Canis lupus familiaris: one gene and its partner. The protein of the gene in region 2 interacts with the protein of the main gene of each other region in a pairwise test. Links are inferred from orthologs where the notes say so. Each region holds a gene or a part of one and is shown on either strand. Other genes may lie near its edges. The genes, in order: CDK18 and CCNK.

Evidence for each region.
Region 1: the proteins of CCNK (region 2) and CDK18 interact in binary tests that used the Homo sapiens proteins (3 or more experiments, as listed by UniProt). The two-hybrid records come from large-scale screens. The link is inferred for Canis lupus familiaris from reciprocal best matches to the Homo sapiens genes CCNK and CDK18.

What each region holds. Positions count from the first base shown.
Region 1 is NC_049259.1:2,576,575-2,580,388, reverse strand, and holds part of CDK18 (cyclin-dependent kinase 18), read right to left. Parts: intron 2,789-3,814; 5' UTR 2,763-2,788; coding exon 2,639-2,762; intron 2,493-2,638; coding exon 2,353-2,492; intron 1,620-2,352; coding exon 1,494-1,619; intron 933-1,493; coding exon 876-932; intron 34-875; coding exon 1-33. UniProt on the Homo sapiens protein: May play a role in signal transduction cascades in terminally differentiated cells.
Region 2 is NC_049229.1:68,322,641-68,326,454, forward strand, and holds part of CCNK (cyclin-K), read left to right. Parts: intron 1-275; coding exon 276-357; intron 358-1,717; coding exon 1,718-1,849; intron 1,850-3,814. UniProt on the Homo sapiens protein: Regulatory subunit of cyclin-dependent kinases that mediates activation of target kinases.

The DNA of each region.
Region 1 (3,814 bases), on a different chromosome or scaffold from region 2:
GCTGCGCCCTTTGAAGACTGTGGCATAGGTACCCTGGGGACAAGAACCCCAGCAGCACCAGCCACACTCAGGGCCCACGCTCCTCTAACCAGTGCCCTCCTCTTGGGCCTCTGCTTGGGCTGTATCCTTCCCCCTTCTTCTCCTTTCACGGAGATTCTGGGTTTGCTCCAAGGCCCATCTGTGACTCTGTCCTTCACTCCTCCCTGTTCAGAATGAACTGTCCTTCCCATGAGCCCCCAGCAGGCTAGGTGCCCTTCTATTGTAACACTCATTGTGTTTCTGCTCAATGTTGGTGTTTACAGGTAGGTCTCCTTCCTGGCTTCCTAGAGGGAAGAGGGCTGTGTCTTCCTCCTGTCTATAAACCTTTGCCCACCACAAGGCCCCAACACAGAAGCAGGGTGCAGTGGTAAGAGAAACCGCTAATGGCATACAGTGTTTATTACCATGTGCCAGGCACTGCCTAAATGTATAAATGTTATTATAGTCACCTATTCTGATCTCATGACAACTCCAGAAAGCAGAGCAACTACATCTCCATTTGACAGAGGAAGAAACTAAGGCACAGAGAGGTCACCTAACTTGCCCAAGGCCACAGTGCTAGTAAATGGTGAAGTAGGGATTTGAATCCAGAGAAATACTTGCAGAAAAAGAAAAAAAAAAAAAGACTGGATTATGCCCCAGAGCCCACGGGCCCCATTCCATCCTCATGTCCTTCTTCTTGAGGACCTGGGACCCCTCAACACCTGCAAAAGGCTGGGCCAGATTGGACAGCCAAGATGGTATGCCTATACGGGGCGGGGGCAATGAGAAGACAGGACAGGGTGTGCAGGGGGAGAGTCTGTCCCTGCTCCTAACTGGCCTGCCCAGTCTCTTACCTCCCCCAGTTTGTCCAGCTTCACGTATGTTTCCAGTTTCCCAAAGCCAATATCTGACTGAGAGGGAAAGACATAGGGTCCTATGAGCTGGAAGGCTCCAGTAACCCCACATACATGATACCCCCCAATCAGCTTCCAGAAGGGAAGGGAACGAGACCCCCTGTCAGGGGGAGGGAACAACAGAGGCTAGCAAGGATGAGGGCAGCCACAAATCCTAACCCCGTGATAAAAGTGGTCCCCGAGCCTTAACAATACAGATTCCTGGGACCCACCACCTGGACTCTGATTCTGTAGGTATCTGGAGTGGGAGCCAGAGTCCATGTCTGCAAGATGCTCCCAGGGAAACATTATAAGCAGCCACGACCGGAAAGCACATGCCAGCTGCTCTATGGGTCTCACCACGGTGGGGCTCCAGCCCTGGGGAGGGCGGGGGGGGGCTCACCCAGGGAATGGACGTTGACCAAGGAGCACAAGCATGTGAATCAGCTGAGGCCAGCAGGTGGCACCAGAGGCCCACAAACTGCTGCAGGCCTCAGCTGGACCAGGCAAAACTGAGGTGTCCATGCTGGGGAGAGAGGGTGGTCCACCCTGGTGACCTCTGACCCTCCTGGGACTCACCAGGGATGCTCGGCGGGACATGCGGCTGAGTGGTTTGGGCAGGTCTGGACTCTCCAGCTGTAGCTTCTGCAGGAATTCCTGGGGTAGGCGGATGTCCATAGGCAGAGACAGCCTCTTACTGATGTCCTATATTAGCCGGGATGAGACGGGGACACCAGTGTCTGCTCCGGGTTACCTGGTGCTGTAGGACCCTTGCTTTTCACCCTGGGGCTGGCATTCCCTATAGAAGCAACCCTAGCAGGGCCAGACCCTAGGCTCACAGCTGCTTCAAAGACATGCTGAGACATCTGTGAACACCCGGGAGTTGCTGTGTGACCTTAGGAGGTCCCCTCCCCTCTCTGGGCTGCAGTATAACCCTCTATAGAATGAGATTCCTACGGACATGAGCCTATTTTTCTTACACATGGGCAATGCCTACAAGCCATAAGAACAGTGGCCAAGGGCAGCCCGGGTGGCTCAGCGGTTTAGCTGAGGACCCAGGATCGAGTCCCACGTCGGGCTCCCTGCGTGGAGCCTGCTTCTCCCTCTGCCTGTGTCTCTGTGTGTGTCTTTCATGATTAAATAAATAAAATGTTTAAAAAAAAAAAAAAGAACAGTGGTCAAATTGTCCAGCCCTCGCTATACCAGGACTGCTCTATGCGCTTGGGGTATATTAGCTTGTTTAATCTTCATGATGACCATTTTAACACAACGAGACTGGTATGCGGAGGTTGAGAAACTTGCTCAAGGTCACAGAGCTGATCAACAGCAGAGCTGGGATTTGAACCCATGAAGTTGGCTCGCAGGCCACCGCCCTCCTTGGGCACGCGTGGCTGGCGTGTCCTGCTGCACCCACAGGGGAGAGCCCAGAGCCCCTCACCTCCATGGAGAAGCGGCGCTGGTTCTGCCGCCGGTACTGCATGCCAGGGGACGGCTGCCCAGGGTCCTCCCCGCTGTCTGTCGGGGAGAAGGTGCTGGTCTCTGGCTGGGGGTCTCTGCTGAGAGGCCCGAGCTGCAGATCTGAGAGGGACAGGTGTCAGCTGCCCACCCAGCCCCTCTGTCCCCGGGGGGGAAGGGAAGGGGCAGGGACCTGTGCAGGGCAGGGGGGGGGGCCCAGAGGGGCAGGGGGCGGCCAAAGGGGTGCGGGGGGCAGCCGGAACCCTCACCCTCATTGCGTCGATTGTGTAGCTGGTTGAACTGCTCTGTGAACTCAGTCAAGGACTCCTCGATAGTCTCGGTGCGAGGCACTGACAGGGAGAGGCGGCGCTTGAAGTTCTTCATCTTGTTCATGGTCAGCAGGGGCCAGGCAGTGGGGCCTGAGGCGGGGGAGCAGAGAAGAGCAGGTGAGAACGAGGCGTCAGGCCAGCACACACTGGATGCGAGAATTCCGAGAATTCCGAGGTCTTGGTCTCCCAACTGCCCATTGAGCTCTGGGGCCCTGCATTCGGGAGTTGGGGTTGCATCTTCCTCACCAAGGTTCAAGGACCTCGCCCTCCTCCTCCCTGTGGACCCCGTTCCCCCCGGACACTCCCCTCCACCGCCCCTGGGAAGGTGGTCACACTATGCATTGGTCAGTATAGCAAAGTACTGCTCATAATGATGTGCCAGCAGCATCCTGAGGGCCTCACCAAAACTAGACAGTAACCTGTGAGCTGCTGGAGGTCTAGAGAGTTCTCAAAAGAGGCCTGGAGGGGCAGGGAGTGGACCAGAACTTGGGCCAATAGCTCTTTACTAACTTGTGTGTAAGAGCTTGAGTATGTCAACAGTCGGTAAGCCTTACTGATTGACGCCCAGAAGCTGAGCATCAGCTTGGCCTACAGCCTCTGACGTAATCTGGTCCAAACCCCACTTCATCCTGATACTGACCCCTGGAGGTCCCTCTCTGGCTGGCCCTAGGTCCCTGGATGACGGGAAAAGAGAGGGGACAAAGGGAGGGGATGTGTGCCTCTGAGCTGGCCCAGCCCCAGCTCTCCAGCTGAAATATGGGAGGTCGGGAGCTCGTCTCAGGGGAAACACAGAAGTTTGCTGGAAAAAGAGGGCCCCAGGGACAGGAAGCCGAGCCCCTCTCACGCCAGAGCCCTGATGGGGCAGGGTGTCCAGTCGGCAGGGTACACAGTGAGGGAGAAGGGTGGGCTACTCTGGTCCCCTCAAGGCCCCTTCCCTAGCCAGAAGGGGCTCCTTCCCTGAGGCCCCCCAGCCCCCTTGCCCTCTGAGTGAGGGGATACCCTGCTGGCCACGCAGTTAGACTGCTTCTTCCCGCAGACCCTTCCTTCTGTATCTTGCCCTGAAAATCCACCTCCTTCCCCAATCACCCCCAACCTCCCTCCATGATTTCGTAAGCT
Region 2 (3,814 bases):
CCGTTGAGTGAGTGACCATCAGGAGGAAAACAAGTATTTGGTGATCATAGTTGAAGTGTGTCTAAAGAGTGGTAGAGCCCTGCCTTGTTACAAGTGTAAACTTCAATTTGCTAATTCTCATGTCTGAGTTCTGATACCCTGAGATCCCCTCCCCTCTTAATTACTGATAGTGTTTATCACTGATTTTGTTGTTATTGTTTGTCTTTATTTTTCCTCATTTAACTAATGGCATAACCTGTAACAATTCTCAGTAAAGTCCTTAACCAGAACAACAGACACTATGATACCCTAGCAACTGGAATAATTTATTTTCATCGCTTCTACATGTTTCATTCCTTCAAGCAATTCCCAAGATATGTAAGTATTTGAATTTTGTTCTAATTCTCTATCACATGTTGTTGTTTTCACAGTTTAGTGGACTGATTATAGTCTCTCTTTATTCTGTTTTCCAGAAAGTATATTTATAATAATACATGGCTATCTATAAGCAGTCAAGTTTGAATTTTTGTTTTTTCCAATTAACTATATTCAAGTCTTTTTTTATTTAGGCCACTGTGGATGATCATAATCATATTGCACTGTGTGGAATTTACTTCCTTACCTTTCACATGATAAATTTGGGCTTGTAATTGAGACCCAAAAAAAGGCCAACCAAAATGGAAGAGAAGTTCTTTACGCCAAATTACTTATTCTTCAGTTACTCCTTAAACATGCCGTATGTCTTACACTCTTTGGGAGAGTCAGTCAGGGAACGTGCCTTGAGTAGCCAGGATAGAGGGGATGACACGTACAGAGCACATGGTCAGTGAAGCCGTAAGAGAGGTAAGGAAAGAAGGCTGGAGCATTCAGAGGGTAGAGTAATACCTCCTAAAGGGATCAGGGAAAATGCCCCGAGGAGTTGCCAGCAGGCAGCTAAGCCTTGGCTGCAAGCAGGGCTTAGACATGCTGCAATGAGGCAGAGCAGTTAGTCCGACAGAAGCTGGTGTGAGCAGAGACACATGGAAGCGCACTATTCAGAGTCAGCCCAACCAGGGAGTCCATGTGGCAGGAATGGTGGAAAAGTAAGCTGGATGGGCCCATGGTGAGCCTTGAATGCTGGATCAGGGAAATCTGACGTTAGTAGGTAGATTGTGAAGTTGTCCAAGGGTTTCATAAGGAGGATGACAGGAGACTTACTAGGAAATTCACCTGTTGGGGATCCTTCCTCTTGTTTAAGATTTACTTAGTGTTGTACACATGTCTTACATACTGATTTGTGAAGTTCTAGAGGAAGAAGCCCGTGGCAGAATCAGCTTGGTGCCCTGTCTGATGCCTACTGCCCTTGGGGTCCCATGGAGAGAGGGCTGTGCCAGGGAGGCGGGCAGAGGCCAAGCAGTGAGAAGGCCAGTGATATAGGCACTGCATGTGGGTCCAGACAGCTGCACCAGTGGGAGAAGGTGTAGGAGATGGAGTCTACAGGACGGGCACCTAATTGTGCTCTTTTTCTGCAGCAAAGCTCACTGTTCAAGGAGCCATTATTAAGTTTGCAATGTAAAAAGAAAATGTGTTCCTATGATTCTTTTCCTTTCTGGCATCTACTTTTTTCACATGACATTTTCTTTAGAAAATTAAATTTTAAATAATTTATGAAGCCAAATTGGGAAGACCCAAAATCCTTGCTTCTGTTTCTCCATGAGTTTTGTTAACAGTATCTCAAGAAATTTTGTCTCCCTTTTAGGTGACGGGAGCTTGTTGTCTCTTTCTGGCTGGGAAAGTAGAAGAAACGCCAAAAAAATGTAAAGATATCATCAAAACAGCTCGTAGTTTATTAAATGATGTACAATTTGGCCAGTTTGGAGATGATCCAAAGGTAAGAATCTTAACTTCCTGCCTTCAAATCTTGATTCCTCGTGGTAGCATGGTGTTAAAGCTCTGTGTGTGGCCTCCGTGTCTGCCAGTCCCCTGAGCCCTAAGAAGGTCCTGTGCAGAAGGTACTTGTACTTGCTTCTGTCAGAGGAAGGAAGGTAACGTGGCATACACTTGCTAATGCATATCACTCCCTCATTTTGAGTACTTTCAGGGGCCCTAGCACAGTGTTTATGAGCAGAAATCCTCTCCTCACCATTAGCACTCCTAGACTGAGAAGCAGTTCAGCGGAGATGGCAGGGCCACGGCTCCAGCCAGCTTCTGGCAGCTTTCCTCCACCCCTGACTCTTGTCAGGGTCAAGTTCCACCCCCATTGTAATCCTTGTGGCACCTGCATGCTTCACAACATTGATCACAGCTGGTGGTGAGATAGATTTTAATCAGATCATCACACAAAGAGTTCTGGTCTTCTCAACTACAAGATCTGTGAGAGCAGAGACCATGTCTGTTTTTCCCTGGCACCTTGTACAGAGGCTGAGCGGAGTAGGCACTCAACAGCTACTTGAATGAATGACAAACTCAAAAGCACAGGTAGAGAAGAACTAATGAGGGCAGGGGAGTTCGGCACTGTCCACAGTCTTGCTTTTCCTCCCTCGCTGCTACTGCCCGCCACAGTAGACACCTGTGTCTGCCAAGCAGTGTTTATGTGTGTAAATAAAACATGTTCGTTCTCCTTCATGCTTCAAGGAGGTAACAGAGGCCCAGAATGCTTTTGTATATGTTGTATTTACAATGAATACTAACTTTATAAGTATTGTCAACATGGGTAACTCTGTTTCTTAAACTGATTTATAAATCCGTTCACCTGTTTCTAAAAATGTGAGTCAATTAGGAATTCATGCTAACGGTGATCAGAATGCAATTTAATAGAATACCTGTGGGTGTCTGATTTTTACATAGTAGGAGACAGTTGTAGGAATGTGTTATGGGCATGTGGCACTGCACTGGTGTGTGTTATCCTAGAGTGCCTTTGGGTGTGTGTTATCCTAGAGTGCCTTTGGAGAAGTCCCCTTTTACCTTTACACCTTTACCCACTATACCTTCAGATGAGGAAACTGAGACCCAGTCGGGCACAGTGAGGTACAGGTTCTGCAGCTCCAGTGCCCCCAGATGATAGGAAGGGGGGAATGAGCATACTATTCAGACTTTTACTGCAGGGTCCAGCCTGCCCCTCCTTTCTATCATGTGCGTCTTCCTAGAAATAATCTGGAGTACAGGGGCCAAAGGAAAGCACAGTGAAGTCACTGTGGAAGACATTTCCCTTGCCAGAGAGGACAGCGAGCAGGGCAGTTATTTGTGGGAGGCATTGTAAGCAATTAGGAAAAAGATTATGAATCATGTGGGACTTTTTTGCCTTTATGAGCTTTGCTTTAACTGTGTGTGCCTCCCCCCACCCCACCCCCCGCCCCATTACATTAATTACTCGTATGTTCAACAGATACTCTAGCCACCACTATGTGAGACTCTAGACCTAAAACAGGTGGCAGGACAGTCATGGCCTTTGCCATTCTCATGGATTTTATAGTGGAGTTGGGATAGATTTTAATCAAATAATCCTATAACTATCTGATTATGAGCTGTGATGAATGCTATAAAAAGATTATTTAAAGGTGCAATGAGGGCATTCAGCCTGGGCACCTGGACAGGTCCCCCAGACAAGAGTTGTGGGGCTGAGGGAAGGTTCCCTGAGGAATGATGCTTGCACACAGACCTATAATTACCCCATTACTTGAATATTTGAAATACAAAGGGAGGCTGGGCCTTGAGCTATCCTGTAATACTATACGGGCCACAGCCTCAAAACCTGTAGGTGCACTTGGTTGGAAGACTGTTCCTACATTGAAAAGTCATGGTGAAACTCCTGGGAAACAGGAAGTGCCAAAACCAGACAAAAACATGCCAGTGTTAG